Linked DNA regions of Callithrix jacchus. The protein of the gene in region 7 interacts with the protein of the main gene of each other region in a pairwise test. Links are inferred from orthologs where the notes say so. Each region holds a gene or a part of one and is shown on either strand. Other genes may lie near its edges.

Region 1 (4,078 bases), about 17 Mb from region 7:
ATTTACAGTTCTAGTTCTCACCAGACCTGGCTCTATCTTCATTTTCTGTTACTGAATTCCCTTACTACGGCTTTGCTATGAACCTGTTTGCTCAGGTTAGCTTGAATGGGTCTTGTTTCTTGGGACCAAATGCCTTAACGCAAATAGTCCTCATATGTTAGATATGCAGCTTTAGCATTAAAAAAAACCTGCCTTTTAGAAATAACCCAGGTACACCCAGATGAACTAGCAAGGACATAAACCACCTCTTTGCTTTTAAACCTCATTCTGTGCTTTGGAGCTGATTCCCGCCAGTGAGCTGGAAGAATCAAAATCATAATCTCTTGAAGTTATACTTTTCCTTAGTACTAGGTGGAAAATATTTCCAACGTGATTGAACTTACCTGATGATGTTCCAGCTGCATCTTGTTCTGTTTGATGATGTTCTCTTTTTCCAATAGTTCTTTCTGTTGCCTCTCAAACTCCTCCTTACCCTGTTAATTTTCAACATAAAGAACATATTATGTCATCACTGTGATTCACTAATGCTAACAAATTCATTGACAGATGAGTAAATACTCTATATTTTCCACTGCCTTGGCAACACCTAATACCCAGTGAGGCACTGTGAATCCTAGACAGGGATGGCAGAAAAATAAAACCCATTCCCATACAGGGTGCCAGCCTTCTGTGCAACCTTACCATTTCCAGAGATCTACTCCTGATTCCCTTCAAATCTCCTATATAAATGTACTATTCTGCTGGGTTCTTTTCTAATAGATTTTATGTGAACCTGTAAACCTCCAAACACAGGTCTAAATGTGGTCCACTTCTCACTTCTAGTTCCCTCAAATCATCTATAGATCTCTGCTCCGAAGCAGTAATGCCCACTGTGCAGACTTAGACAAGCAGTAAGGTGAATGTTCAATGCCTCCATCCTCTCTCTCTCCACTCCCTACTTCAGCACCAGGTGAGGCTCAGTTCTCCTTCCCACACTTTTTTGCACTCAAGGGAATTCAGTATAATAGTTATGTAGTTCTTAGTATAATCTGTGACTCTCAGTCAAATTAAAAGAATGGTAGAATAAGAGAGTAAGCCTAGGCTGGGCACGGTGGCTCACACCTGTAATCCCAGCACTTTGGGAGGCTGAGGCAGGCGAATCACGAGGTCAAGCTATCAAGATCATCCTGGCCAACATGGTAAAACCCCATCTCTACTAAAAATACAAAAATTAGCCTGATGTGGTGGCACAAACCTGTAGTCCCAGCTACTCAGAAAGCTGGGGCAGGAGAATTGCTTGAACCCGGGAGGCAGATGCTGCAGTGAGCCAAGATGGCGCTACTACACTCCAGCCTGGGTGGCAGAGTGAGACTCTGTCTCAAAAAAAAGATAATAAGCCTTAGTCCTAAATAATGGATCTTGGTAGAATGTTTTAATCCCTCAAAGTGGAAGGGACAACTGTCAGAATCCCAGGTCAACTCGGAACTTGCTGGAATTCCCACTTGTAGGAGGCCAACTTGACAGTCCAATGTCCCATACATAGATTAAGCTCCAGGGACAACTAGCGAATGCGCAGTGGTCCTCTAGGTAAGTCTGAGATGGGGCTAAGTTTTAAAGCAATTACACAAACACACACACACAAAGTAGCTACCAGGGACCTTGGAAAATCTCTAGTGGAAAGGTTTTCTACTCTTTTTCTTAATGATGAAAACTTTTTTTTTTTTTCCAAATAAAATGTTATATGGAACCATACCTAAAACACAAATAGAAGTGGAGCTGGTATTATTATTAGAGAGCCTGCTATCCTACTTGGTGAGTCTCCTCTTGCCTGAGATATATCAGTGGGATCTAATCCAAACCCTTACGCCATTCATTTTGCACATGAGGAAATGAAGGCCCAAGGAGGTTGAATAAGTTGGTCACACAGTAAGTGTCAGAGAAAGGACTAGAGCTGAGTGAGTACTCAGGACTCTCAGTCCAGTGTTCTTCCTACTCTACAACACGCCCTCCAATTTATGAACCACGTGGATTAACATTCATCAGGTTAAAAAAAAAAAATACATCCGGTTCTCTCCTTTGGTAGTCCAACCCGACAGCCTCACAGGTATCCGTCCCAGGCTCCCTGCTTGTGAGTGAGCGTAGGTGTTTTATGAGTTTGGTTGTTTTACCTGTAGGTGGACATAATCGTAGTCATCCATCCAGCTCCTCTCAGAACCATCACTGCTGCTACAGTCAGGGGCCTGCTCCTTGCCCAGGCCCGGGGGCAGTGCCTTGGAGTGGGCCTGGGCCTTGTGGTCACCAGGATGCAGCAGCTGTACCTGGGGGCTACCATGTGGGTACTCTGTTGAGTTCATGATGCTCTCCGGCCCGTTCTTCAGATGCAAGCTGCCAGGGCCAGGTTTGAAGAGGGTCTCTGCATTGGTGTTGATGGTTGTGGTAAGCTGCTTGGCATCATCGGGCACTGTCTTTGCCACCATCACAAACCGGTCTAGATCATCACACTTGTTCTGGGGCTTGTTGATGGCCAGGATATTCAGGGACCAGCTGCACTCATTTAGGTCGTGGCTGGTTTGACTCAGGATCTGGTGGGAGTCTTCGACTCTTTGCAGCTCCCGCTTCATCTTGTTGTGGAGGATGAGTTCTGGGAGGCAGGAAGCATTTACGACAGCTCCCTTGACAAAGTGGAGGTACTCCTTCAGGAACAGCTCCACCTTCTCCACCGACGTGCGTATCTCATTGATGTGTTTTTCCATATATCCGTAACACCGCCAGTCGGTGGTGACCAGTGCCATTAGGCTGGAGACACCCATTTCCAGGGCCTGCTGGAGCCGTTGAAGTCTCTCAATAGCTGTGTCGGGATCCAGCAAGAGCCTTTTGTCCTGAGCTGGGGAGGCTGATAGTGAGGACTCCTTGGAGGAAGTGGAAGACGTGGACATGTTACTCCGGGTGCTGCCTGTGCTGGAGAAAGACAATCGGTTGATCCCATCCACCAAGTCCCGAGAGCCTTTAGCGTCGGGTGGATTATGCAGAGGGACATCATAAACACCATCTCTTTCTTGGGGGTTTGGTTTCTCACTGGTTTCTGCGGGTGGCTCAAGAAACTGAATGCCTCGAGGGACGTCATATGCGTCGTTCTGAGGGCCCACTGACTGTCCCAGTTGTGGAGGTGGGTGATTCGGGGACAGGCTCTGGTGCCTTCGAGCCACCGGTTCTGCAGCTCCTGGAATGTCACAGTTGTATTTTACATGAAGGTCCTTTCCTGCTGGCTTGGTGCTGGTTGGGGGAATGTCATAAACCCCCTCTGGTCTGAGATCCGGCCTTCCAGCTTGTCTCATGGGCGGGGGGAAGTCATAGTCTTTTTCCCTAAACCCTGCTTCATCCCGGCAAGCAGAGGGTGGAATGGCATAGACCTGAAAAGTGAGTAGACAGCAAAACGCTATTTATCGAGTTGGCTCATGGGAACATGCGATCCCATGTTCTCCGTCCTATTTGCTGGCACTTTTTCGGTCGCCCCCCGCTGCCCCCAATGTTAGGCACTTCCACGTTTCCCCACGATTCTGCTGTCACTTCCCTTGTCCTTTAACAAGTGTGTCCACCCCCACATTCTTGGTGCGGACTCATATGTGGAACCCTCCTGGCTAAATTGCTTACTCCTGTGTTCTAGTCCTGTGTTTCTGACCACCTCCTGGGTATCCTTCTTCTGCTGATCTGTGCCGAGAGGCAGAGTAAGACCAGAGGTCTCCCCCTGTCTCTTTGGTCGTCACAGCAGCTGTATGATGCTGAACGAGCTGCATAGGTGTCTGAAACACAGTCCCCTTGTCTGTAAAGTGGGGATTACCATGCTTCCTGTGCAGGCATACCCCAGAGGGTAACAGAATGAGTCAAATGAGTTCACCTGAACATACAAACTGAGAAAACTGTCAAACTCTCTACAGGATAGGTGCAGTGGCTCACACCTGTAATCCTGCCACTTTGGGAGGCCAAAGTGGTAGGAGACTTGAGGTTGTATGTTCAAAACCAGCCAGGGCATCATAGGGAGACGCTGTCTCTACAACAAATGCAATTTAACCAGGCATGGCAGTGTGCATCTGTGGTCTCA
Region 2 (4,817 bases), on a different chromosome or scaffold from region 7:
CTGGCCAGCCTGGCTCAGCCTTTTTTTTTTTTTGAGTTGGAGTCTCACTCTGTTGCCAGGGCTGGAGTGCAGTGGCACAATCATGGCTCATGGAAGCCTCAAACTTCTGAGCTCGGCCAGGTGAGGTGGCTCATGCCTGTAATCCCAGCACTTTGGGAGGCCAAAGTGGTTGGATCACCTGAAGTCAGGAGTTCAAGACCAGCTGGTCAACATGGTAAAATCCCATCTCTACTAAAAAGACAAAAATTAACAGGGCATGGTGGTGGGCACCTGTAATCACAGCTATTCCGGAGGCTGAGGCAGGAGAAATGCTTGAACCCTGGAGGCCTAAGTTGCAGTGAGGCAAGATTGTGTCATTGCACTCCAGCCTGGTCGAAAAGAGCAAAATTCTGTCTCAAAAAACAAAAAAGTAACTTCTGGGTTCAAGCAAACCACCTGCCTCAGCCTCCTGAGAAGTTGGGACTACAGCCATGTGCCATCATGCTCAGCTAGGTTTTTCTATTTTTTGTAGAGATGGGTGTCTCACTGTGTTGCCCAGGCTGGTCTTTTAACTCCTGGCCTCAAATGATCCTCCAGCTTCAGCCTCGCAAAGTGCTAGGGTTACAGGCATGAGCCATTGTGCCCAGCCTGTTCTGAAATTTGACCTGGACATTCTCAGTGTAGGCTCAGGAAGAGAACAGGAGGCCCCAGGCCCATGGGACTTGCAGAAGACACCAGTGGGGCCAGTGTCCTGGTCACTCCAGCCTGGTCATCAGCCTGACTCTAGTAAGCATGAATCTGAGATCTCTCACACAGGTCCACGGGTGTTAGACACCTGCATGCTGCTTTGCCACTCGAAAAGTTCATGCCTATCCCATCTCATCAGATCTCACAAAAGGCAGGAAGGACGGAGTATCATTCCTTCCTGCCTTTTGTGTTATTCCTTCCTGCTTTTTGTGTAAAATGTATCCCCATTTTACAATTGAGGAACAGAGCAGGGTCATGCCCAAGATCACTCAGGTATCAGGACCCAGATCCCCTGCCTCCCAGCCCAGAGCTCTGCTGTCTCCCTAAAAATGCTGCCCTGGTGATGAAGGAGATGGTCAGCTTTTAAGGGCAGGGTGACAGGAGATGCAGCAGAGCCTGGCTCTTCTCCCTAGCTGCTAGCCCTGTGATTGGAAGGCACCCAGAAGCCTTTCCAATGACCCATGCCAACCATTCAACCCTTCTGTCCCCCACCCCCAACACACCCACTGTCCAGGAGGACCCTGGCCAGGTCCCACAGCTGTGAGTCAGGATCAGAACAGACCCCTCCCCCACCTTCTAGAAGCTGACAGGAGACTTGAAGGGAGAAATTCAACTCCCCCAACCCTCACCCTCTGCAAGCAGGCACCAGCCCCAAGCTCTGCTCTCCCCCATGGGGCCTGAAAGTCAGAGAAGTTTAGGGAAGGGGGTTGGGGAGCAGGATCCCGAAGCTGCTCTGAGGACAGGAGAGGAACAGTTCATTCACCCCAGTCCCCCAGGGCTGAGGCAGCCCGTCCAAGATTTGAGTTTAAAAATAAGTTAGGGCTGTCCTGGTGGCTGTGTGTGTACGCACGGGGCTCTTCTTGATCTAGAACTTACTGTCTCCGGGCCTCTGCCTCCTGAGGGATCAGTGGGCTCAGAGTTTCTGTGTCCCCAATGGTTCAGGCCTGGGTATGTCAGGGGCTGTCTTGGAAGCTGTCAGCCCACCTAGGTCTCTCTGCCTCCATTAAGTCTCTGTCTCTGCTCCACTGAGCATGTCAGTCTGGGCACACTTCAGCTGCTGTCTTTAGGTTTTGGACGGCCCTGTATCTTGACTGGCTGTCCCCCCATGGGCCCATGCCTCTGTGGATCTCAAGTCTTGGTCTCTTCTTGTCTACACGGCTGAATATCTCAATGCCTACTACCTCCCTTTCTCTGTCTCTGCATCCAGGTCTCTTTCGCCATCTCTGCATACCTGAATGTCTCTGTCTTTAGTCTCTTGGTGTCTCTGCAGGCCTCAGAGAGCAGACTCAGCATGATGCCACTGACACCCACGCCGCAGGGCACCTCCAAGGCCCAGAGAAGGGCCCTAGCAATGTGTTCGCTGGGGTTCTACGTAAGCTTTTTCTGAAAATGCTCCACAAAGCCTGGGTCGGCCCCCATGCCTCTGGTCTGTCCACCGGTAACTCCGTACGCCCAGTGTGTCCTTGTTTCAATGATCTCGATAGCCTCCTGTGCCTCGAGTCCCTGCCTGTCTCGGTCTCTCGCTCCACCAGGCTTTCCGAGAACCTCAGTTTCTCCAGCGCTCCTGCTCGGTCTGTCTCTCTCTGGCTTTTCTATTTCAAACTTAGCCCCCCTCCCCCGCCCAACTCTCGCTGCCGCCCCCGCCCCTGTCCCGCCGGGCAGCCCGGAGGGGTCCAGTCCGGGCAGGCGGTCTCCCGGGCTCGGCGTGTCCCGGGCGCCCGCCGCCAGAGCCCAGCGGGGACAGGGGGCCGGGGCCGCGGCTGGCCTCAGCCCTCCGTGGGTCCGCTCGCTCCCCGGCCCGGGCGAGGGGGAGGACGGCCGGGGCTGGGAGCCGGGGTCGGCGTGGCGCTCACCTCGAAGCGGGCGGCGGGCGGCGGGCGGCGGGAGCGGGGCGCGCGGGGCGCGGGCGGGGCCGGGAACCGGGCGCCGCGTTCCTCGGCGGCTCCTACCTGCGGGCCGGGCCGAGCGGGGGCCGAGCGAGCTGCCGGCGAGGCTGCCGACTGCAGGCGGACCGTGTGGGCGAGTGGGAGAGCGGCCCCAACCCCTCCCCGAGGAAGTCCGCGCCGGCCTGCCCCGCCCGGACCCCGCCCCCGGCCCCCCAGCCCGCCGCGGGGGCCAGACCCCGCCCCCACCTCCCTTTCGGCCGCTTGCCGGCCCGGCCCCCTCCTCCCTCCCGGCCTAACCTGGCTCTCCCAACCTTCGGGCAGCCGGGAACCAGCCCCTGTCCTCTCCCCGCAGCCGCTGCTGTCCTCCCCTCCCACCCCCATCCCCAGCTGCCAGAGGGAGACTGCTGTATTCCATCTCAGGCCGGCGGCACCAGACCCCGCAGACCACAGTCCATTGGGGAAAAGACTTCTGGCCCCCTCGGATCTCCCCGCAACCCCAACCTTAGCCCTAGGGGTGACACTCAGCCCGGCCTTAATCCAGGCTGGAGGAGGAGGTTTTGACTCTGCTGTCTTGAGGCTGTCAGCGGGTACCAAGGTGTTCTCTGAAAACATGGGGCAAAGAGAGGACCCTTCCCCACCATAGGGCCTTGACCTTCAAAGGGTTTTATTCCACAACTTTGAGTGACAAAAACAGGGTAACCACCTCCCCATCTCCAGCAGCCTCCTGACACTGAGAAGTCCTGCTTTGCCTGGGTTTCCGCAGTGCCCAGGAATAGTTTTGACCTTTGAAGCTCCGGGGAGACCCTAATCCTTGGCCCCATGATCTTTGGCTTCTAGGGAGAGGTGTGAGGAGTGTGAGAAGATGGGGCGCCACAGGGGTGGTGGAGGAGAGCGGAGGGGACCTCTGTAGTGTCTGAACCGCTGGCTTCCTTCCTCCCTGTGTCTGTGAGGAAGGACTGGCGCCTGCTAGGGACACGAGGCCCCTCTAGGTCCTTGAGGCTACCCACCCCCCATCCTCAGGCTTGTCACTAGGAATAAATAGCCTTGGTCTGGAAGGGTGGGGAGGGAGGGAGGCAGGAGGCTCTACTGTGTTGTTTGGGGAAACAAGAGACAGCAAACCAACCCCGGAATAACCTTAGCATCTAGAGTGAAGATTCAGGTGCACAGAGACCTCCCCACACCCCAGACTGGGTGCAGCTGAGCTCTCAAGGAGGAACTAACACCCTCCCAGGCTGGGGCTCCTGAGAACCCTTCCCTCCCATTTCTGTGTCATGCCTGGGTTCCTGGGTCCCAAGTCACCTTCCAGGCCTGGTTTCCTTTCAAAATTAAATCATTGCTTGTTTATGATTGCTGTTGTTGCCTAAATGGTAAGAGCCATGAAGGCAGGACTCTTTTTTTGTTCACCACTGCCTTCTCAGTGCTTAACCCAGGGTCCGGTACATCATAAACATCTGATGACTGAATGGATGACAGACACTGCTTCAGTATGGGTGTCCCTCTAACATCCTCAGTTGGGATCACAGGCATCTGCTTTCTAGAGTCCAGGCAGTGAGCATCCAGCCCATGGATGGGGCCTTTCTCTGGGATTTTTTTTTTTTTTTTTTTTTTTTTTTTGAGACAGAGTCTCGCTCTGCTGCCCAGGCTGGAGGGCAGTGGCGTGATCTTGGCTCACTACAACCTCCACCTTCCAGGTTCAAGCAATTTTTCTGCCTCAGCCTCCCAAGTAGCTGGGACTAAAGGTGCATGCCACCACGCCGGGCTAATTTTTTTATATTCTTAGCAGAGACGGGGTTTTACCATATTGGCTAGGCTGGTCTTGAACTCCTGACCTCATTATCTGCCTGCCTCAACCTCCCAAAGTGCTGGGGCCACAGGTGTGAGCCACTGCACCTGGCCTCTCTGGGATTTATCTGGCAGGTGTAAGAAACTCCCAGCCCAGGGCAAAGCAGTGAAGAGTACTCAGTCTTGGTAGAGTGGGTACCAAGAGGAGGTCAGCTCTGGGCTGATGGGAGGGCAAAGGTGGGGCCCCTTCAGAAAGCGGGAGTTTATGAGTGGGTGCAGAAGGGCCCGATGAAAGGCAGAATATTGGAATCTCTGTTCTTGATGCATGGCTCTAATCCCTCCTAACTAGTCATAACAAGAGCCAGTACTTCCTGAATTCTTTTTTTGCACCAGTCCTAAACATTTTACATATATTAACATACC
Region 3 (2,764 bases), on a different chromosome or scaffold from region 7:
AGAGACGAGAGGCGCACAACAGTCCTCATGAGCGGGGACCGGGGCTACATCCCAGGGACCCTGTTTTTCTCTGTGGGGCCATGAACGGGTTACATTGCTCAGCCTCTAGGACCTCAGTTTGAAATGGCTAGAGTGGTTAAGGTAACCTCAGGACCCCACTCGAAACAGTTCCCAGCTAGGTGGGCTTGGGTGTCACGTGTGGGTCTGGCCCCCAGCCCAGTCAGCAGTGAGTGGCTTGGAGCACGGCAGTCACCGCACCATCGGCACCGCGGTTTGCCATCCACAGAGCAGGGCGAGCCTGCACCGTGGCTGTGGGACAGTGGGGAGCTCATCTGCTCAGACAGCGGCTGTCGGTGCTCTCGGCTCTGGGGGTGAAGCGGTGAATGAGAGAGACAAGTCTTGCCTTCCTGGAGCCTGTGGGTGGCTGGGCACAGACAGATCAGTAAGATGCCCAGTGTGGTAAAAGGCAGAAATACCAGGGAGGGAAGGACGTGGGAGGTGGGACAGGGAGGCCTTCGTCCTAGCACAGCCAGGGAGGGCCTCACCTTTCCCTGCCTCCACTCCCATGTTATGAGGTGTTCAGTTCTGAAAAAGGAGTGCACAGAAGGCACTTGGTCCTGCACTTGCTGGTGGAGCCTGATGACAGGTCCTGTGCTTATTTTCTCTTTTCTTTCTTTTTTTTTTTTTTTTTTGAGACGGAGTCTGACTCTGTCGCCAGGCTGGAGTGCAGTGGTGCAATCTTGGCTCACTGCAACCTCCGCCTCCTGGATTCAAGCAATTCTCCTGCCTCAGCCTCCTGAGTAGCTGGGATTACAGGCGCCTGCCACCATACCCAGCTAATTTTTGTATTTTTATTAGGGACTGGGTCTCACCATGTTGGCCAGGATGATCTTGATCTCTTGACCTTGTGATCCACCCACCTTGGCCTCCCAAAGTGCTGGAATTACAGGCTTGAGCCACCGCGCCCAGCCTGTTATTATTTTCTTTAGAGACAGAGTCTCGCTCTGTTGCCCAGGCCTTGAAAATATTTAGGAAGTTCCAGCCAGGTGCCGGCGTCTATCGCTGGACACTGTGATCATCAGTAGTGTTGGTGTGATTTGTGCTGGGACCTCCAGCCAGCCACATCCCCCAGAGACTCAGTTTCCTCATCCAGAAACTGAGCAGGATTGGCTGTCCTCAGGCACTGGTGTTTTTAGCAGCCCCTGGGGAACTTGTTAAAAACCTAGGTGCCCTGGTTTCTCCCCACCCTCTCCCCCCAGACCCACTGAGGCAGAATCTTCCAAGGCAGGGCGACTCCAGGGACTGGCAAACTGTCCCATGCCCACCCAAGGCCTGAGTACCACGGGGAAAGGCCTGGGGGGCTCTGGCGTGTCAGTTGGGGCCTTCTCCTTGCCCAACACATCATCCTCTCTCCCTCACCTGCCTAGGGCCTGGAGATTGTGAACCCACAGGCCGCGGAGAAGAAGGTGGCTGAGGCCAATCAGAAGTATTTCTCCAGCATGGCAGAGTTCCTCAAGGTCAAGGGCGAGAAGAGTGGCCTCATGTCTACCTGAATGATAGCGTGTGCCCAACGTGGCTTCCCACTGAAGGGACGTTGAAGTCCAGGCCTTCTGAAGGGCTGGGATGGGGGTTAGGGGTTGTGGCAGGGAGAGCCTTCCCTGCCGCCCACCCGGTGCTCGACTGCCCAGGGAGGGGCCTCGGAAGAAGCCTGGCCCGGCCTCCTCCAGGATGGAGCTCACCGCCCTGGATGGGTTAGAGCAGGTCTTCATGCCTTGTCTTTTTTATTTTAACTGAGAAAGGAGATACTTTTTTGAAGAGAGTGCAATTAAAAAGCACATTATCAAGATCTGTCCTTGGGGAGTGATCATTTTTCAAACAGCTGGGGCAACTAGAATAGTCAGAGCTTCGGAGTTTGGGGAAAAGAGCTTCGCCTCCGGGGCGCACTCCCTCCCCTGTTCCTTTCTCACCAACCCCCTGGAGAACCTCAGTCGCTTTGATAGCAGACGGTGTGGCAGCCGACACCTGAAGATCTCAGCGCAGGCTGACCAAGGTTGCGCTGGCACCTCAGGCCGGTTGCCTCGCCTTTCCGAGCCTCCACAGCTACGCCCAGGCACCCAGGGCTGGAAAGAACGCGCAGAAAGCACTTAGCACAGGGCTCGCGTCAGCACCCAATAACTGGGTCCTGTTACTGGTGTTTTTTAGAGATGAGGCCTCTGTCGCCCAGGCTGGAGTACAGTGATGTAATCATAGCTCACTACGGCCTCAAACTCCTGGTTTCAAGCTGGGATTACAGACGCATGCCACAGTTCCTGGTTAATTTTGAAACTTTTTATAGATGGGGTCGCACTCTTACCCAGGCTGGGCTTGAACTTCTGTGCTCAAGTGATCCTTCCACCTCAGCCTCCCTAAGTGTTGAGATTACAGGCTTCAGCCACTGCGTCTAGCCTCTTACTATATTTTATTTATTCATGTTTTTGAGATGGAGTCTCACTCTGTCGCCCAGGCTGGAGTGTGTGATTTCAGTTCACTGTGACCTCCACCTCCCAGGTCCAAGTGATTCTCTTGCCTCAGCCTCTTGGGTAGCTGGGATCAGGCACCTACCACCAAATTTTGTGGGGGTTTTTTGGTTGTTTGTTTTTTGAGACAGAGTCTCATTCTTTTTTTTTTTGAGACGGAGTTTCGCTCTTGTTACCCAGGCTGGAGTGCAATGGCTCAATCTCGGCTCACTGCAACCTCCGCCTCCTGGGTTCAGGCAATTCTCCTG
Region 4 (4,078 bases), on a different chromosome or scaffold from region 7:
CTGGAAAATGGTTTGTTGTCAGGTTCATTGACTCGACACTTTGGTTTTAGTCTGGGAGGAGTCCAGTTGCATCTTCTGGCAGACCTGGCACTGCATGTGCAGGGGGTATAAGCTGGGCAAGGTGTGTGGGAGGGCTGTCCACACACGCCCACAGTGCCAGCAGGGCTGTTCCAGGTCAGCCCACCCGCAAAGCCCAGAACCAGAACACACCTTCTTGAGATTCCAGCAGCCCCAGGTCACAAGAAGCTGTCAATATCAGTTCCCCAATCAGCTTATGCGGAACAGGATTCATCACAGCCACAGCCCCAGTGCCTGGGACAAAGCCAGGCCCATGTGGGGGCTCCACAAACGCCTGGAGAATTGTCAGAAAGCACTTGATGGAGTTGCTGAGGACACCAAAGCTCATCCTGGCCAGGCAGATGGCCCCAGCAAAGCCCAACAGGGAAGAGTACCTGGGGCAAGGGTTCATCCAGACCCCAGGGACCCAATCCCAGGGCTGCCACTTACCTACACTGTGTCCTTAGACAAACGACGTACCCTCTTGGAGCCTCAGTTTTCCCCTCTGTGAAGTGGGAGGTCATCTACCCCAGAACCTCAAGAACCACACAACCTGACGGGCTGAAAGAGGTCTGCTCTAGAGGGGCTGAAGTCTCCTTTGTACAGTGCGTTCGCTTTACTTATGTTTACTGTTAAGACTTGAATTGCTTGCAACGAAAATGTTATCTTTAATTTTTTAAAAAAACATATAGTAGAGAAACATTTCAAACGAATTGAAAAGTATCCCAAATCATATATATTTTTTAAAACCTACCACCTGCCCAGGAGCAGTGCCTCATGCCTGTAATCCCAGCATTTTTGGGAGGCCGAGGCAGGTGGATCACTTGAGGTCAGGAGTTCGAGACCAGCCTGGCCAATATGGTGAAACCCCCTTCTCAACTAAAAATACAAAAATTAGCTGGATGCAGTGGTGCGCACCTGTAGTCCCAGCTACTCAGGAGGTTGAGACTGGAGAATTGCTTGAACCTAGGAAGCAGATGTTTCAGTGAGCTGAGATCGCGTCACTGCACTCCAGCCTGGGTGACAGAGCGAGACTCTGTCTCAAAAACAAAATCAAAACAAACACCTACCATCTATATTTATCAAGTATTAAAATTTGCCATGAATTTAAAACATTTTCACTTTATGAAATAAAGATACAGCAAACTCTTCCACTTCCCCATTTCTTCCTCTCCCTCCTTCAGAGTCTTCCTTCATCTCTGTGTAGCTGTAAGTTCAGCCATTATTCTGTCTATTTAAATATCTACATGCTTGGTGCTGCGTTAAATGTTTTGCTACTAGCATTTCTAAGCTAATTTATGACTTTTACAGAATTAAGATGCTCTGTGTAGGGAGGGACTTGGGGGTTTTCCTCCTGCTATTTGTTCCACAGCCATCTGCTGAGCAGCTGAATGGATTTTGAGTTGCTCCCCTGCCTGGTCCCGCTGGGGCCCTTCAGGGTTCCTGGGGGGTGGGGTGGGGCATCTGTGATCCCTCCCACCTGGGTGTACCTGCCACGTTGGTCATCCGCAGGGCTTCCTGGTTCTTGGGCGTCTTGGATCGGTTCTGGCTGCGCTGTTTGCTCCCTGTGGACCGGATGCTGCGGAAGTGGACCTCTGTGGCCTTGAAGAAAGCCACCATGAAGGGCTGCTTGTTCTGCGGCCCATGCCGCCCGATCAGGCCGGCCAACTTGGGGTTGATGCTCTGCCCTGGACAGGAAGCAGCCAAGTACACGGAAGAATGGTTACGGGGAGAGCGGTTACAGGGAGAGCGGTTACAGGGGAGAGTGGTCACGGGAGGGCGGAGAGCAGGACGGGGCTGCCAAGACACCGTGCCTCCGGTTCATTCGTGAACTCCTTATTCCTCCATCCTGCCAGTATTTATTGAGTACTCACTCTAGGCCATGTGCTGTTTAAGAAACTTGGACCACAACTGCAAACACAGCCAAGAAAACGTCCTGTTCTCTGGGTTTCCATGCTAGTGGGGAAGGCAGGGAGGGGAATATTAGGGGTGGGGAGCCAGGATGATGCCTGCGGAAGGTGGCAAGTTAGTGAACCCCGTAAGTGTCACTCGCATTTCATTGGCCAGAGCAGGTCATGGTATCTGCCTAACTTCAGGGAGTTGGGGGGCAATCTTGCTCTGTGCCAGGGAAGGTGGAGCAGCTGCAAGCAGCTCTAATGACTACGGGGGCCACCTGAGCAGAGATTTGGGTAACAGTGAGCGAGGGGGCCCATTGGATGTCTGGGAAGAGTGTATTTCAGGCAGAGGGAACTGCAGAGGTGAATGCCCAGAGGCAGGAGAGGGGAGGGTGTGCTCAAGGAGCAGGGGCGGGTAGCAGGAACAACTGGGAGGGGCAGGAGGGGCGTGGGTCAGGTCAGGTCCTGTGAGCAACACGAGCACCACCTCAGCCCACTGTCCCACGTTGCTGCTGTCCCCTAAAATTCATACCCACACAGAACCTCAGGATGTGAACTCATTTAGAAGCAGGGTCTTTGCAGATGTGCTGTTGTCAGTTAAGCTCATACTAGATTAAAATGAGCCTTAATCTGCTGACTCATAAGAAGGCCACATAAAGAAACAGACGCAGACAGCCCTAGGAAGACAGAGGCTGTGAAATGCCAAAGATTGCCAGGAGCCCCTGAAGCTGGAAGAGGCAAGGAGCGACTCCTCCCTAGAGCCTTTGTAAGGGGACAGCCCTGTGGGCCTCGACTTTGGACCACTCGCCTCCAGACTGTAAGAGAATAAAGCGTTGTGTTTCAGGCCACCCAGTGGGTGGAACTTCACATCCAGGGCCCTGGTCAGGACACTGAGGCACTCTGCAAGAAGTGAGAACCATGAGGGTGGGACTTACAGTGGTTTTTATAAGGCCACTCAGCCTATCCCTGGAGAGCCGACTGCAGGAGTCAACCTGAAAGGGAGACAACAGCATTGTCCAGATGGGAGATGGCGTGAGACTGGACCCAGGATGGTGGGGAGGGAGGCTGTTGAGAAATGGCTAGATCCTCAAGAGTTCACTTTTAAAATCCATCTTTAGAATTTATTTTGGTTTTAACTTTTTGTTGTGAAAAGATTATAGATTCACAGTTCATTGAAAGACGATGTACAGGGAGGTCCCAAGTGCCCTTCATCCAGTTTTCCCCAAAGGTGACATTTCAAATAACCAGCACACAACCTCCAAACTAGGAAAGGGGAGATTTGGGACTGAATTTTGGGAGGGATTATAAAAGGTGTGAGAAAAAGGGGACTCTTATGAGACTGGCATGCTTTTGGCCCAAGGCCCCAGAAGAAGGGAGGGGCTGTCTACCAACGTAGGGAAACAGAGGCAATGGAGCATAAGCTGAGAAATAGAGGGTGGAAGACAAAATGCAGTTTGCTTTAGTAGATATTGTCTGAAATCCCTACTTGACACCAAAAGGAAGCTGTCAGGTGGGCTGCAGAGATCTGGCCTAGGCTTGATCAATGGATCAACTGGAAAAGAAGAGCTCTGGGCTAGTGAGGGAGGGAGTGGGGCCCGGGCCAGACATCCTGGGTTCAAAACCCTGCCTCTGTCACTTAATGCTCAGCTAGGGCTCAGGGCAGAGCTTTGCATACCCTAAATGCTCAATAAATGCTGGCTCGGGGCAGTGGTCTAGATAGTGATGTAAGCTTGGGCGTCCCCAGCTTGGAGATGGGGTTTAAAGCCAGGACTGGATGAGCTTGCCAGGCGAAAACATGCAGCCAGACGAGCGGTGTGAAGCCTGAGCCTAGGTGGCCTCTGTCTTCCACTGAGGGTCAGAGGAATGCCACGGAGACTGTGCAGGAGTACCCAGTAAGGAAGGATCCAGAAGAAGCCTGGGCAGGAGAAATGGAGACACCAACAGAGTATGGGGTCTCGGAAACCAGGGGAGGAAAGTAGAGGAAGCGAACTCTGCATCCTGTGCTCTGCAGATGGACCTAAGGACACGCCATCTATCCATTAGCATTGACAACGATGAGGTCATTGGCAAATATATATGTAATGCCATGTCTGGGGTGATGAGTATTTCAAAGCCAAAAAGAAAAA
Region 5 (4,619 bases), on a different chromosome or scaffold from region 7:
ATACACTGGCCCAGAAGACTCACCTAGCAAACAGGGCCCGGGCCAGGGCCAGCCTCATCCTCCAGCCACCCGAGAACTCCCTAAAGAATGATGGGGCCACATTAGGGGTGGGTGTTCATCAGGTCAGAAAGGGGCTGAGTCAACAGGGTTCAAAGCCAAGAATGGCAAGGGTCACTCACCGGGTAGGCTGCTGCTGCATTTTAGGGGTAAAGCCAAGCCCAGCGAGAATGACTGATGCCCTAGGAGGGAAGAAACTGAAGAAGTCAAGTGGAACAGTCCACAGAAGGGAAAGGAAATCTGGAGGGAGGGGAGTTTGATATACCTGGCAGGTGCCTTGTCAGCCTCAATCTCCTCCAGTTTGGCATAGATTTCTGCCAGTTCTGCAGCTTCAGAGCCCTCCACCCTGGAGGGAGGAGAAACAGCAAATGGCCTAAGTGGGGGCAGTCTAGGAGGATGTCCTGTGCCCTATACAGCTGGAAAGAGGCCACTGGCTACAAGAGGAAGAGAATAGAGGAAGGATCTGCTCAAGGGAATGAGGGCAATGGGCACTGTGGAAAGAACAAGGGCTGCTGAGTGCCAGAGTGCCAAGTTCTAAGCTCTGTTGATTACTAGTATGCACATGCAAATGGTGGATTATTCCAGCAGGGCAGGCACTCTGTGAGGGCCAGCAGCTGCTAGTTACTCTCTAGCCTGAAGCCCTCACCTGCCAGCAGCAATCTGGGTGCTGAGTTCCTGCTCCCGCCGTAACAGGCTCTCCCGCACACTGTCACTCTCCAGCACACTCTGTAGGGCAGGGGTGTCATCTCCAGCAACCTCTTGCTCAACGTGCAGCAGGGAAATGTGGGCTGGAACCCGGAGACTCCGGGTGGCCAGCATCTTCAGTAACGTGGTCTTCCCCAGCCCATTCCGCCCCACCAGCCCATAACGGCGGCCCCATGCCAGGTTCACATCAGCTCCAGCCAGCAGTACTCTGCAGGGGTGGAGAAAGGAGACCAAAGATGCTCTAAAAACAGGTGCACAGAAAGTTAACGATAAACCTAACATTGTTTGTAGCCCCATTTCATCTCTCTAAATTTTCCCCTAATTAGAAAAAGAAAGCCAAGTCCCGCCCCCACGATTCCCTCACCTGTCCCCGAAGGACACATCGAAGTTCTCAATTCGCACATCATAGGATTTGTTCTTGCCAGATGATTCCAATCGACTCTCCTTTCTGCTGCCTGCCTGGCTAGCTGATGCCTCTTCTAAGACTCTTTAAAGGGAGAAATGGACAGCTCTTAGTGCTCCCCACCAGTCCAGGCAGACACTACTCTGCTCTCTTCTGAGCCATGCTTTCTCCACTCACAGAGGGTTGCTGGTCTTGAGCATGTCCTTCTCTGACCGCTTCTCCTGCTTTGCCTTAAGTCGAGCCTCAGCCTTCTCAAGCTTCTTTGCATTCACTGTCTAAGGATCCAAACACATTGACTTCACTCTAGGGTGTAGGCTCAGTAAGGAACCCGAAGAGAGAACACCTCAAGTAAACCCTCTTAACTTACCCAAGATGAACGGACTCAAAGGCTCAGGGAAAGACACAGTCAGAAATCCCCCCAAAAGATCCTCCAATTAGACAGTCCATTCCCAACCCCATCACACACTCCCTCCCTTGCTTCCTCCTCCTCACCGAGGACTGTTCCCTCTTTAGCAGTCCTGGAAGTTTGGTTCCACAGTCTGTAAGCGATAAGAAAAGCAGTCACCTTCTCCCTGAGGGAAGGGAAACTAACACTTTGAGTGACTAATATGAACCAGGCACAGACACAGACGTTTTCTACAAAGCTTTATAATCCTGGAGATAGACGGCTATTATCTTCCCTGCACTTAAAAAACATAAACAAACAAACCTCACGTAAAAGAATACAGAAGCATAGGAGGGGGTGGGGACAGATAACCAACTCTAAAAAGATCATGCAGCTGGTTAGTAAGCTGGAAAATGGGCGAGTGAAACCAAGTCTGTCCAGTTCCAGGCTCCTATGCTTCCTACCATACCCAAGGGCTAGGAGAACCCTCCAACAACAGCCTCCCCCCGACCATGGACTCTTCTGCCCTCGGTAAGGACATCAACTAGCTCCTACAACCCTGTCCTGTGGAAAAGACGCAGTAGGAGCTCTAAGCTGCAGGGGGCAGATGGGTAGGGGCAGAGAAAAGGACAGAGGGCAGTTAGTTGAATCTCCCCTCACTCTCACCGTAGTTCTCCGTTATCTTTGACAACTGGATGGGGGCGTCCAGTAGCACCTGGCTATTTCCCTGGCTCTGTGGTTCAGCCCTATGTAGGTAGGGAGAGAAAGCGCAAAGTTAGCAGTTGAGGGAAAAGCTCTACGGCCGTCAGACCTTCTTCCCCCACCTCTTGTCTCCGGACCGTTCGCCCTCCCTTCGCCCCCATCAACCCCTACTGCCCGGCACATACAGGCGCAGAGTGTTGTACATGCGCTGGCACACGGCCCTGATGCCCGCGTCATCCTTGCTGTCCCCGGACACCTCTTGCAATAGTTCCCCCACAGCTTCCACCAGGTCATCCACAGACTCAAAGTCCGAGCTGCCGCTGTGCAAGACGCCTGCGCAGGGCGTGGCAGAACGAGGAAGGTATCAGGTAGGGAGGACACACAAGCAGTTTCCCCAAACAGCGGCCCCAGTCCAGGTTCCAGACCCAACCGGCCCCCGGGACAAGAGGTCACGCCGAGGAGAGGCCTGGCAACAGTCCCCGGCACGACGCTCGCTTAGGCTTTCCCCCGGCCTCCACTTTGGTGTCCTCAGCCAGCTGATTCAGTTCTGCTTACCCGTCACGTAGTCGAAGACCTGTCCGTCAATTTCGGGGAACTCGCTCCGCAGGATTTCGGCGCAAGTCGCCATGTTCCAGTTGAGAACCCGTCCGCGCAGTCGCTGTGAGCCCCTGGCCTAGGCCCGCCCCCGGCCCTGTCCCCGAAATCTCGCCCCTCCTTGCAAGGCGCATGCGTAGCGGTGATACAAGAAAGGAGCGGAGTGCAAGGAGCCCGGTGGGCGGGGCGAGCGGGGCCCAGAGGAGAGGCGCTGAGTCTGCGCTGGGCCGCCCTCTCTGCGCGTGCGCAACTCTTTTCCGGCTTACAGATTAGCCACACATGCGGTTCTCGCTGCCTTCTGGAAGGTGGAGTTCCAGGAGCGGCGGGTGGGGCGGGGGCTGAGTGCTCAAGATTTATCTGGGCGCGAGGCACTGGTGGTCTGGCAGGTGGGAGCCTCCCAAGAGACCAGCGGCTGATAACGCACTTTGGCTTTGCCGGGTTTTATGCGCTCTCTCGAGGCGCGTCTGCTGTGGCTGCGCACTCAGCCAAGCCCATTTTGGAGCCCTCCCAGAGCTGCTGATTCACCCTCGTCTCTGACTCTGAGCGCTGAGCTCCCGCTCCCGCTCCCGCAGTAACAGGTCCTTCCGCACATTGTCACTCTCCAGCAAACCCCGCCACCTCAGTGCTTTGCTTTCGCGGGCCCCCGGATCCTACGGGCTCCTCAGCCTGGTGGTCAGCGCCACCTGCCTGCCCGCCGCGACCTGTCTTCATACTTCATAATTGAGCTGACCTTTGCGAATTAAGCCCATTCAGTTCTTCCACCACCCCAAGGCACGACCAAATCCACCGCCAAAGGGCAAGAAAACCAGGACAACGTGGCTTGTATAAATTCACTGGTATTTATTCTCTACCTACCCCCAAAGCCGACTTCTTCGCACCCTGAATCTCAGTAAATGCCAGTAAAAGGCTACTTCCTTTCACCGATTCCCTCAGGAAGCTAGGAATTTCCTCCAAGATGACGTTATTGCTGTATATTTAACGTGAAAATTCCTCCAATCGGCCCCAAAAGTGGCACCCAAAATTACATTACCACCCATTCATCCCTTTGGATTAAAAACATTGCCATCAGCCGGGCCCAGTGGCTCACACCAGCAATCCCAGCACTTTGGGAGGCCGAGGAGTGCTGATCACCTGAGGTCAGGAGTTTTGAGACCAGCCTTACCAACATGGAGAAATACCGTCTCTACTAAAAATACAAAATTAGCAGGGCATGGTGGAGCATGCTTGTAATCCCAGCTACTCAGAAGGCTAAGGCAGGAGAATCGCTTGAACCTGGGAGGTGGAGGTTGGGGTGAGCGGAGACCGCGCCATTGCACTCCAGCCTGGGCAACAATTAACTCCGCGTCAAAAAAAAAAAACACAAAACACCTGCCATCATGAGGAATCAATCAATCCTGATGGTTAACCATTTTACAGGAAATACAGGTAAAGAGGATTATGTTAAGTGACTTCATGGGGACAACTGGCAAATTCTGATGGGAGGAACTACAGATCTCTGGTTTCTTTGACAAAATTGCAAGACCTAAAGGGAAACATCGATTTTAAAATTTGAGCGTGATCTCGGCTCACCACAACCTCCGCCTCCTAGGTTCAAGTGATTCTCCTGCCTCAGCCTCCTGAGTAGCTGGGATTACAGGCATATGCCACCATGCCCGGCTAATTTTGTACTTTTAGTAAAGATGGGATTTCTCCATGTTGGTCAGGCTGGTCTCGAATTCACGGCCTCAGGTAATCGTTGCTCCTCAGCCTCCCAAAGTGCTAGGATTACAGGCA
Region 6 (4,698 bases), on a different chromosome or scaffold from region 7:
CCACTTCACTACAATGATCCTGCCACATCAGCTTTCCTTCTGGTTCTTTCCTGTTTTAAGGCCTTTGCCCATGCCGTGTCCCCACTAAAATGCCTTTCCCATGATGGCCAAGACTGAAGTAGCCCCCATCTTCCGCTGCTGTCTCTCATTACTCTATTTATTTCCTTCTGAGCATCAGCTTTTTTGTTTGCTGACCAGCTGTTCCCCCACTACTAGAATGTAAGCTCCAGGAGGGAAAAGACCTTCCCCTAACTTGTTCACCATACCCCAGCATTTAGAACAGTAGCTTGCTTATACAGTACGTGCCCAATAAATATTGCCCAGTGAATCACTCAGTAGGTCTTAAGATCACAACTACAGAAGCTATAAGTTACAGATTGCCATCTCTACTTCTCTTGATATGAAAACACTAAATATGAGTTACTTTTATTTTTGAGACAGGATCTTGTTCTGTCACCCAGGCTAGAGTGCAGTGACCCAATCCTAGCTCACTGCAGCCTCAAGCTCCCAGGCTCAAGCAGTCCTCCCACCTCTGCCTCCTGAGTAGCTGTGACACCATGCCAGGTTAATTTTTTTTCTTTGAGACAGAGTTTCACTTTTGTTGCCCAGGCTGGAGCTGGAGTGCAATGGTGTGATCTTGGCTCACTGCAACCTCTACCTCTGGGGTTCAAGTGATTCTCCTGTCTCAGCCTCCAGAGTAGCTGAGATTACAGGTGCCCCCCGCCATGTCCAGCTAATTTTTGTGTTTTTAGTAGAGATGGGGGTTTCACAGTGTTGGCCAGGCTGGTCTCAAACTTCCGACCTCGTGATCTGCCCGCCTCAGCCTCCCAAAGTGCTGTGATTACAAGTGTGAGCCACCACAACCGGCCGACAGGCTAATTTTTGTAATTTTTTTTAATAGCAGAGACGGGATTTTGCCATGTTGCCCAGGCTGGCCTTGAACTCAGGGACTCAAGTTATCTGCCTGCTTCAGCCTCCCAGAGTGCTGAGATTACAGGTTTGAGCCACCTCTCCTGCCTGAAATTGTTGGGGATTTTTTTGGTTTTGTTTCCGTTTTTTTTTTCCAGATGGAGTCTCGTAGTTGCCCAGGCTGGAGAGCAGTGGTGCCATCTGGGCTCACTGCAACCTCCACCTACTGGGTTCAAGCGATTCTCCTGCCTCAGCCTCTCAAGTAGCTGGGATTACAGGTGCCCGCCACCATGCCCAGCTAACTTTTGTATTTTTAGTTACCTATAGGGTTTCATCATGTTGGCCAGGCTGGTCTCAAACTCCTGACCTCAGGTGATCTGTCCACCTCAGCTTCCCAAAGTGCTGGGATTACAGGTGTGAGCCACTGTGCCTGGTCAAAAAATTGCTTTTATTTTTTATTTTATTTTTTTGAAATGGAGTCTTGCTCCCATTGGGCAGGCTGGAGTGCAATGGCATGATCTCAGCTCACTGCAACCTCCACCTCCAGGGTTCAAGGCATTCTCCTTTTTCAGCCTCCCAAGTAGCTGGGATTACAGGATACGCCACTACGCCCAGCTAATTTTTGTATTTTTAGTAGAGACAGGGTTTCACCATGTTGGCCAGGCTACTGAACTCCTGAGCTCAGGTGATCCTCCAGCCTCAGCCTCCCAAAGTGCTAGGATAGGTGTGAGCCACTGTGCAGTGGCTGAAATTGCTCTTTTTAAGACATCTTTTTTTGGGCTGGGCATGGTGGCTCATGCCTGTAATCCCAGCACTTTGGGAAACCAAGGCAGGTGGATCACCTGAGCTCAGGAGTTCAAAGCCTCATCTCTTCTAAAAATACAAAAATTAGCCAGGCATGGTAGTGGGCACCTGTAATCCCAGCTACTCAGGAGGCTGAGATAGGAGAATCACTTGAACCTGGGAGGCGGAGGTTGCAGTGAGCCGAGATCTTGCCATTGCACTCCAGCCTGAGGAAAAAAAGTGAAACTGTCTCAAAACAAAACAAAACATCTTTTTTTTGAGACATGGTCTCGCTCTGTTGTCCAGGTTAGAGTGCAGTGGAGCAATCTCAGCTCACTTTGGCCTCTGCCTCCCAGACTCACGCAATCCTCCTGCTTCAGTCTCCATGGGCCTATAGGTGCACACAACTGTGAGCGGCTAAGTTCTGTATTTTTAGTAGAGACGGGATTTTGCCATGTTGCCCAGGCTGGTCTCAAACTCCTCAGCTCAAGTGATCCGTTTGCCTCAGCCTCCCAAAGTGCTGGGATTACAGGCGTGAGCCACCACGCCCGGCCCCAACGACTCACTTCTAACTCACCTATCTCACCCCGGCCCATTAGACCTTTAGGGAACCGACCCCGCCCTTACCAATAGCAAACTCCACGAGGGTCTCATTCTCCTCCGACAGCGAATCGAGAAATAAATCCAGGACCTGCAGCTGCCGCAGATACTCGTAGTTGTTGGGGTCATAAGCGAAGTTGGCGAGGTTGGCGAGGACTTGCTCCTTGGCGTCTGCAACGGGAAAGCGGCACTGGAGCCAGGTCCGAGCGGCGGTCACAGCAGACCCTGCCCCCCTGGCCCCACCGTGGCTCTCACCTTGGCTCTGGGTCTCCTGGAATTCCGTGACCAGCGCCTGCAGGAATCCCAGCCGCCCGACGTGAGGGTCCACCTTCGGCTTCTGGGCCATGGCCGGTGTGGCAGAGGACCCCCAGGGACGGACGGGAGGGTGGGAAAGGTGCAGGGGAAAGCCGAGCGAGACCTTCACCTGCCCTCCACCTGTGTGGAGAGGGAAGATGGGGGGCGGCAAACGGGTTTCTTTCTAGAGTTCAGATTCTACAGTAATTTGCCGCTGAAAATGGGACGTGGGAGATGGGGCGTGGTCTCAGAATCCTGTGGGAGTTGGGTTTGAAAATCGAAATTGGGGCGCGGGCGACGAGGAACAGTCTACGAGTTGGGGCTTGCAGAGGGGGCACCAGCGCCGTGTGCCGGGTGCCGGGTGCCGGATCCCGGATCCCGGGTCCCGGATCCCGGATCCCGGATCCCGGATCCCGGGATCTGTTCCGAGCTCCCAGCGGAAGCCGCGCTGTCTCCGCCCTTAATATAGCGGAAGGAGCGGGCACGAGGAGGAAAGGGCGGGACAGGGGCGGGGCCGTCGACGAACTCCTTGGCGCACGTACTCCGCGCGGTTACGTTTTTTCTGGATGCGGAAGCCCTTCAGCCTGGGCTGCAGCCCGCTGCTAGCGGATTCCCTGAGACAGGTGCGGGCGTGGGTGGGTTTACTGCGAGGAGCAGCCTGGTTTCCCTTATCTCGTTTCCAGCTGCAAATTACTGCAAAATCTGAACGCAAGAAAGAAACCCACTTGCTGCCCCGGCCGATAGGAGGGCGGGTTAGGGCCTCGCTCGGCTTTCCCGCCCCACCTTTCCCACTCTCCCGCCCATTCCCCGGGGCCCTCAGCCGCCCCGACGTGGCCCAGAAGGTAAGACGCCCACGTCAGGCGGCTGGATTTCCGCGAGGAGCAGCGGAGTCTGCCAGAACCCATGTGGCAGGACGTCGAGGGAGAAGCACCTCCAGGACCCCCACGGCTGGCGGGGGCGTGGCCCAGCCTCCTTGACCCGGACGGCCCTTCGGAGCGCGGGCGTCAGCTCTCTGTGCCCCCCATCGGTCCTTTGCCCCTTTTGCAAAAAGCCTGGCGACCCCGATACGCCCTCCATCCCAGCCCGAGGTGGGTCCGCCACCTCTGGACAGAAATCAAGGGGACTGGCTTATGTCCTGGGGCTTTTCGTCAGTCGGGTGGACGGCGCGCGCCCGGGGAAGCACCGGGGAGCCGGAGGAGGAGCCTTGGATGTGGCCCTTTCAGGGCTTTCTGGATGCTGAAGCCCTTCGGCCGGTTCCCTGTCGGGGATTCTCAGGAAGCAGGTGTGTGCTGCATTAACTCGTGGTCACAGGGAACAAAGCACCAGGGAAGGAGGTGGCCTTGCCACTCTCCGATCGTGTTTGACAATGTGGTATAGGTGGCTTAGGCTGTGCATGTCCTGAGAGTACAAAAGTGGAGTCACTTGCGTTAAAAAACAAACAAGGCCGGGAGCAGTGGCTCACGCCTGTAATTCCTGCACTTTGGGAGGCCGAGGCGGGTGGATCACGAAGTCAAGAAATCGAGACCATCCTGGTCAACATGGTGAAACCCCGTCTCTACTAAAAATACAAAAAATTAGCTGGGCATGGTGGCTCGTGCCTGTAATCCCAGCTACTCAGGAGGCTGAGGCAGGAGAATTGCCTGAACCCAGGAGGCGGAGGTTGCGGTGAGCCAAGATCGCGCCATTGCATTCCAGCCTGGGTAACAAGAGCCAAACTCCCGTCTCAAAAAAACAAAACAAAAGAAAAAAACCAACAAAATCCCGACAGAGTTCAAGAAATCCAGGACGAGAGAGTTCTCATGCATAAATATCTGATAAAACTATCACAAAGACTGCAAAAACCACCACGTTGCACAAAGGCCATCACAAACTTGCACAAAACCACTTCTGCACGGCCATCTGCCCAGCAACTGCCTGTCCAACTTTGAACTGGTCACCCTTGTTATGAATCCTTCTACCTAGCGATAATTATCTCAAAACAAGTAGGTAATCCTAATTTTTCCCTTAAAGCCTTTGTCTTCCTTTACCTCCCTGAATACCCATATAGTTTACTATGCCATGCATATTACCATTGCAATGCCCTATGCCCAAAGAGATGGCATTTTCTTTGAG
Region 7 (4,078 bases):
GGACGTGTATCTGCTACATCTGTTACCAGATGCCTCAAAAGTATCTGAGCAGGTGCAATGCAAGTAAGAGCTCAGCATATACATTACAGAAAATTATTAAACATTATGGAAGTTTGTTATTTGTAATAATTAAGAAAAGCGTTTACCTACATATAAGGATTTCAGGGCCGGGCGTGGTGGCTCACGCCTATAATCACAGCACTTTGGGAGGCCGAGGCGGGTGGCTCACGAGGTCAAGAGATCAAGACCGTCCTGGACAACATGGTGAAACCCCCGTCTCTACTAAAAATACAAAAATTAGCTGGGCATGGTGGTGCGCACCTGTAGTCCCAGGTACTCGGGAGGCTGACGCAGGAGAATTGCTTGAACCCAGGAGGCGGAGGTTGCAGTGAGCCGAGATGGCGCCATTGCACTCCAGCCTGGGTAACAACCGCGAAGCTCCGTCTCAAAAAAAAAGGATTTCAGAATCCACCAGACTGCCCAGGAATTTTAGAATTCAATATATGGCCAACCCTTTACTGAATGTGGATCGTGAGCAGAAGAATTTAAATTTGGAGAAACTTCTCCAAATGCCTAGAACACCTTATTTAATAAACTCACATATGGGACTTATGTGTCTAGTTGTATTCTACAAGTGTTAGAAATGTAACCCTATTCTTGTATCTTAGGAGGTAAGAACTATTATTGTCCTCATGTTACGATGAGAAAACTGCCTGTAGAATCCTTACTAAGTGGTACAGCTGGGCCCAGAGCCCAGGCGGCTGGACTCCTGACTGCCCGCTCCTAAGCATGTGCCCGTCAGCACGGCTCAGTTCCTCCTACAGGAGCTGGCGCTTGTGCCCACAAGCAGTAGGAACTCAGTAAATTACAAAGATAAATACTGGCTCAAGTAACCAGGACAGATTTTGTTCATACTCTTTCCTGAAAAATCAAATTAATTGTGGATTAATTTTTGGGTGGCTGATTTTTTTGCCTCCATCAATGCAGACTGAGAACTGACTAAATACAGTTAACAGGCTGTTAACTGAGAAAATTAAGGCCACAGGGAAGAAGTGAAACATCAGGGAAGGCTGGCCAATGGGTAGCAGCCTTATCCCATTTTCCGCACTTTCAGTGCAGATGTTCTTTCCAAGCAACTTTACATCAAAAGCCCAGGAGGTAGATAAATTTACCTTGGATTTTCTCCATATCGGACTGCATTTTTTCTAGGAAAAGAAAACAAGAAAATATTCAGTTTGCATCCCACTATCTGGCTGGAAAATATATCTTTTCATCAGGGAATATGCAGACATTGAGTATAAATCCGTCTCCCTCATGACATCTCCCCGCACGTTACCTGTGAACTGCTTTAGCCCTTCCGTCAAGAAGAGACATTTTTGGGCAAAAATGTGGATTTTCTCTTGCAAATCTGGAGGCGTGATCCAAGGTTCAGGAATCCTGATTCTTTCAGCCCTAAATTGAAAAAATGTGAGTAAATAAATTATTTTCCTCAATTCCATGACCTTCTAAGAACCAGGACTGCCTAAGCTAAACTGTCCAGCACAGATGGACAGTCTTTTTTTTTTTTTTTTGAGACGGAGTTTCGCTGTTGTTTCCCAGGCTGGAGTGCAATGGTGCGATCTCGGCTCACCGCAACCTCCACCTCCTGGGTTCAGGCAATTCTCCTGCCTCAGCCTCCAGAGTAGCTGGGACTACAGGCGCACACCACCATGCCCAGTTAATTTTTGTATTTTTAGTAGAGACGGGGTTTCACCTTGTTGCCCAGGATGGTCTTGATCTCTTGACCTCATGATCCACCCGCCTCAGCCTCCCAAAGTGCTGGGATTATAGGTGTGAGCCACCACGCCTGGCCTGCACTCATTCTTATAACCCCCAAAGCAGGTAGCTCACAGCTTTCCAAATATTCAGTACCCAGAACAATTTACTGAATTACATACGAGGCTGACTTTGCCGGAAAGCACTAATCTTTGATATTTATGGTGGGCAATTACCCCGAATTCTCAGGTTCCCAAATACGGAGAGAATGGCATGTTCAGACAGAAAGGCACTGTGGGGGACAATACCCAATTCCCTTGCCCTGCAAGGCTGTCTATGGCAAAGACTGCCAGTTGGCCACCCAATACCCCTTCTACCACCTTTCACCTTTAATGGCTCACAGCTGCCCAGTCCCTCATCGCTGCATGTGACCTAGTGACTGAGTTCCGGCCTATGAGAGGTAAGATGCATCTCATGGTGTTTTGAGAAGTCTGCTTAAAAAAGTAACATGACTAGGAACAGTGGCTCATGCCTGCCATTCCAATACTTTGGGAGGCTGAGGTGGGAGAACTGCTTTGAGGCTAGGAGTTCAAGACCAGCCTGGGCAACATGATGAGACCTTGCCTCTACAAAAAAGAAAAATGAAGAAAAAAAAGTAATGTCATGTGACTTATCTCATTCCTCTTGTGTGGCTTTCTACCAGCTACTGTGGACTCCACAAGAACCACACCTTAGGGATGGTAGAACAGTGAATGGGAAGAAACCTGAGTCTCTGAGGATCGCTGCAGTTACCATACTAGTCACAGGCTACCTACCTGCACATTTCTCTTTTTCTGAGATGGAGTCTGGCTCTGTCGCCCAGGCTGGAGTGCAGTAGCGCAATTTCACCTCATTGCAAACTCCGCCACCAAGTTCAAGCAATTCTCCTGCCTCAGCCTCCCCAGTAGCTGGGATTACAGGCATGTGCCACCATGCCTGGCTAACTTTTGTATTTTTAGTAGAGAAGGTGTTTCATCATAATGGCCAGGCTGGTCTCGAACTCCTGACCTCAGGTGATCCACCTGCCCTGCCTCCTAAAATGCTGGGATTACAGGTGTGAGCCACCGCGCCCAGCCTGCACATTTCTTTTATGGTAAGAAAAATTTTATCATGTTTAAGCCTTAAGCCAATAACATTTTGGGTTTTCTATCTTATACAGCCAAATTCAATCTTTAATGTCACAAACTGCTATGGTCCGAGGGAGCTAACTGCGTATGTTAGGCTGGAGCTAGACTGGCATCATGAAGTAGCAGGTAACAGGAGATTTGCTTGGGTCATGTGGCTGGGACTAGTATAAACTCCACCACTCCATCTTAGGGTCCCTCAGGAACCTCAATTCCATCAACGTGATTCTATCAACACAGGCCTCCCAGCCCCATCTATAAGGCCCTCCCCCATATCTTTAAATGCTCCCACATAGTCAAGCTGTATTTTGCTTTAGGGGGTTTCACTATTCAGGGTCTTAATCACCTTCAAAGTACAGCTCCCTCAAAGTCAGGTTCCACCTGGAAGGCACTTCCTGCACCAGACATAAGCTTCCCAAGGACCATCCTACTCGCCTAGTCATCCTTCCTGCAAATACAACTCTGCCCTGGCTTGCTGCCCCCTTCAAGCTCTCCCTTTCTGGTCATGTCCAGCTGCCAGGGAGCTCTTCCTCACTTTCTTTTTGATGGAACAGAGAATAGCAAAAATAAGAGCCAGAATCCAGGTGGCTCATCCGTAATTATGTAAATCTAGGTCAGTCACACCTTTCTTAGGCCTTATTTCCCCCGTTATAGAAAAAAAGAGAGAAAGACAATGAAGGGGGAAAAGACTGTGAAACGTGTAGGAAGCAACAATCATAAACTACCCTTATACTCAGCCCAGGTCCCGGTAAGGCTACACTCTCTCCATGGAAGTGTCCTCATATCCCTAATCCACCAGCAGCCGCCCACTCCCTGAATTTTACTGAGAAGAGCTGTGGTTCATATAATTCTTTGCATACTAGTGACTCTTTTCAGGGATACATCAATTTGATAAGATGCCCATTCTCAGGCTCAGGGCTCTTTTCAGGATTCACAAATGTGAAGGAGACAGTCTTCTCATATTTGATTTTTTTTTTTTTTGAGATGGAGTTTCGCTCGTTACCCAGGCTGGAGTGCAATGGTGTGATCTCGACTCACCGCAACCTCTGCCTCTTGGGTTCAGGCAATTCTCCTGCCTCAGCTTCCTGAGTAGCTGGAATTACAGGCTGTGCCACCATGCCCAGCTAATTTTTTTGTATTTTTAGTAGAGGCAGTGTTTC

The links.
Region 1: the proteins of TRIM27 (region 7) and NEDD9 interact in binary tests that used the Homo sapiens proteins (3 or more experiments, as listed by UniProt). The two-hybrid records come from large-scale screens. The link is inferred for Callithrix jacchus from reciprocal best matches to the Homo sapiens genes TRIM27 and NEDD9.
Region 2: the proteins of TRIM27 (region 7) and FHL3 interact in a two-hybrid assay, tested with the Homo sapiens proteins (2 studies listed by BioGRID and IntAct). The two-hybrid records come from large-scale screens. The link is inferred for Callithrix jacchus from reciprocal best matches to the Homo sapiens genes TRIM27 and FHL3.
Region 3: the proteins of TRIM27 (region 7) and PRPF31 interact in binary tests that used the Homo sapiens proteins (3 or more experiments, as listed by UniProt). The two-hybrid records come from large-scale screens. The link is inferred for Callithrix jacchus from reciprocal best matches to the Homo sapiens genes TRIM27 and PRPF31.
Region 4: the proteins of TRIM27 (region 7) and BMP7 interact in binary tests that used the Homo sapiens proteins (3 or more experiments, as listed by UniProt). The two-hybrid records come from large-scale screens. The link is inferred for Callithrix jacchus from reciprocal best matches to the Homo sapiens genes TRIM27 and BMP7.
Region 5: the proteins of TRIM27 (region 7) and ABCF3 interact in binary tests that used the Homo sapiens proteins (3 or more experiments, as listed by UniProt). The two-hybrid records come from large-scale screens. The link is inferred for Callithrix jacchus from reciprocal best matches to the Homo sapiens genes TRIM27 and ABCF3.
Region 6: the proteins of TRIM27 (region 7) and ARMC7 interact in binary tests that used the Homo sapiens proteins (3 or more experiments, as listed by UniProt). The two-hybrid records come from large-scale screens. The link is inferred for Callithrix jacchus from reciprocal best matches to the Homo sapiens genes TRIM27 and ARMC7.

The regions. Positions count from the first base shown.
Region 1 is NC_133505.1:19,409,466-19,413,543, reverse strand, and holds part of NEDD9 (enhancer of filamentation 1), read right to left. Parts: intron 3,390-4,078; coding exon 2,148-3,389; intron 474-2,147; coding exon 384-473; intron 1-383. UniProt on the Homo sapiens protein: Scaffolding protein which plays a central coordinating role for tyrosine-kinase-based signaling related to cell adhesion. As a focal adhesion protein, plays a role in embryonic fibroblast migration.
Region 2 is NC_133508.1:74,580,676-74,585,492, forward strand, and holds the start of FHL3 (four and a half LIM domains protein 3), read right to left. Parts: upstream 2,984-4,817; 5' UTR 2,910-2,983; intron 2,752-2,909; exon of another isoform or gene 2,580-2,751; intron 1-2,579. UniProt on the Homo sapiens protein: Recruited by SOX15 to FOXK1 promoters where it acts as a transcriptional coactivator of FOXK1.
Region 3 is NC_133523.1:47,313,762-47,316,525, forward strand, and holds the end of PRPF31 (U4/U6 small nuclear ribonucleoprotein Prp31), read left to right. Parts: intron 1-1,427; coding exon 1,428-1,553; 3' UTR 1,554-1,846; downstream 1,847-2,764. UniProt on the Homo sapiens protein: Involved in pre-mRNA splicing as component of the spliceosome. Required for the assembly of the U4/U5/U6 tri-snRNP complex, one of the building blocks of the spliceosome.
Region 4 is NC_133506.1:52,769,048-52,773,125, forward strand, and holds part of BMP7 (bone morphogenetic protein 7), read right to left. Parts: intron 1,746-4,078; coding exon 1,548-1,745; intron 1-1,547. UniProt on the Homo sapiens protein: Growth factor of the TGF-beta superfamily that plays important role in various biological processes, including embryogenesis, hematopoiesis, neurogenesis and skeletal morphogenesis.
Region 5 is NC_133516.1:13,170,167-13,174,785, reverse strand, and holds the start of ABCF3 (ATP-binding cassette sub-family F member 3), read right to left. Parts: upstream 2,898-4,619; 5' UTR 2,881-2,897; coding exon 2,808-2,880; intron 2,586-2,807; coding exon 2,438-2,585; intron 2,297-2,437; coding exon 2,217-2,296; intron 1,705-2,216; coding exon 1,658-1,704; intron 1,441-1,657; coding exon 1,343-1,440; intron 1,250-1,342; coding exon 1,127-1,249; intron 971-1,126; coding exon 704-970; intron 404-703; coding exon 323-403; intron 240-322; coding exon 180-239; intron 81-179; coding exon 24-80; intron 1-23.
Region 6 is NC_133506.1:131,032,839-131,037,536, reverse strand, and holds the start of ARMC7 (armadillo repeat-containing protein 7), read right to left. Parts: upstream 3,049-4,698; 5' UTR 2,639-3,048; coding exon 2,548-2,638; intron 2,464-2,547; coding exon 2,320-2,463; intron 1-2,319. UniProt on the Homo sapiens protein: As a component of the minor spliceosome, involved in the splicing of U12-type introns in pre-mRNAs.
Region 7 is NC_133505.1:2,088,216-2,092,293, reverse strand, and holds part of TRIM27 (zinc finger protein RFP), read right to left. Parts: intron 1,453-4,078; coding exon 1,337-1,452; intron 1,206-1,336; coding exon 1,173-1,205; intron 45-1,172; coding exon 1-44. UniProt on the Homo sapiens protein: E3 ubiquitin-protein ligase that mediates ubiquitination of various substrates and thereby plays a role in diffent processes including proliferation, innate immunity, apoptosis, immune response or autophagy.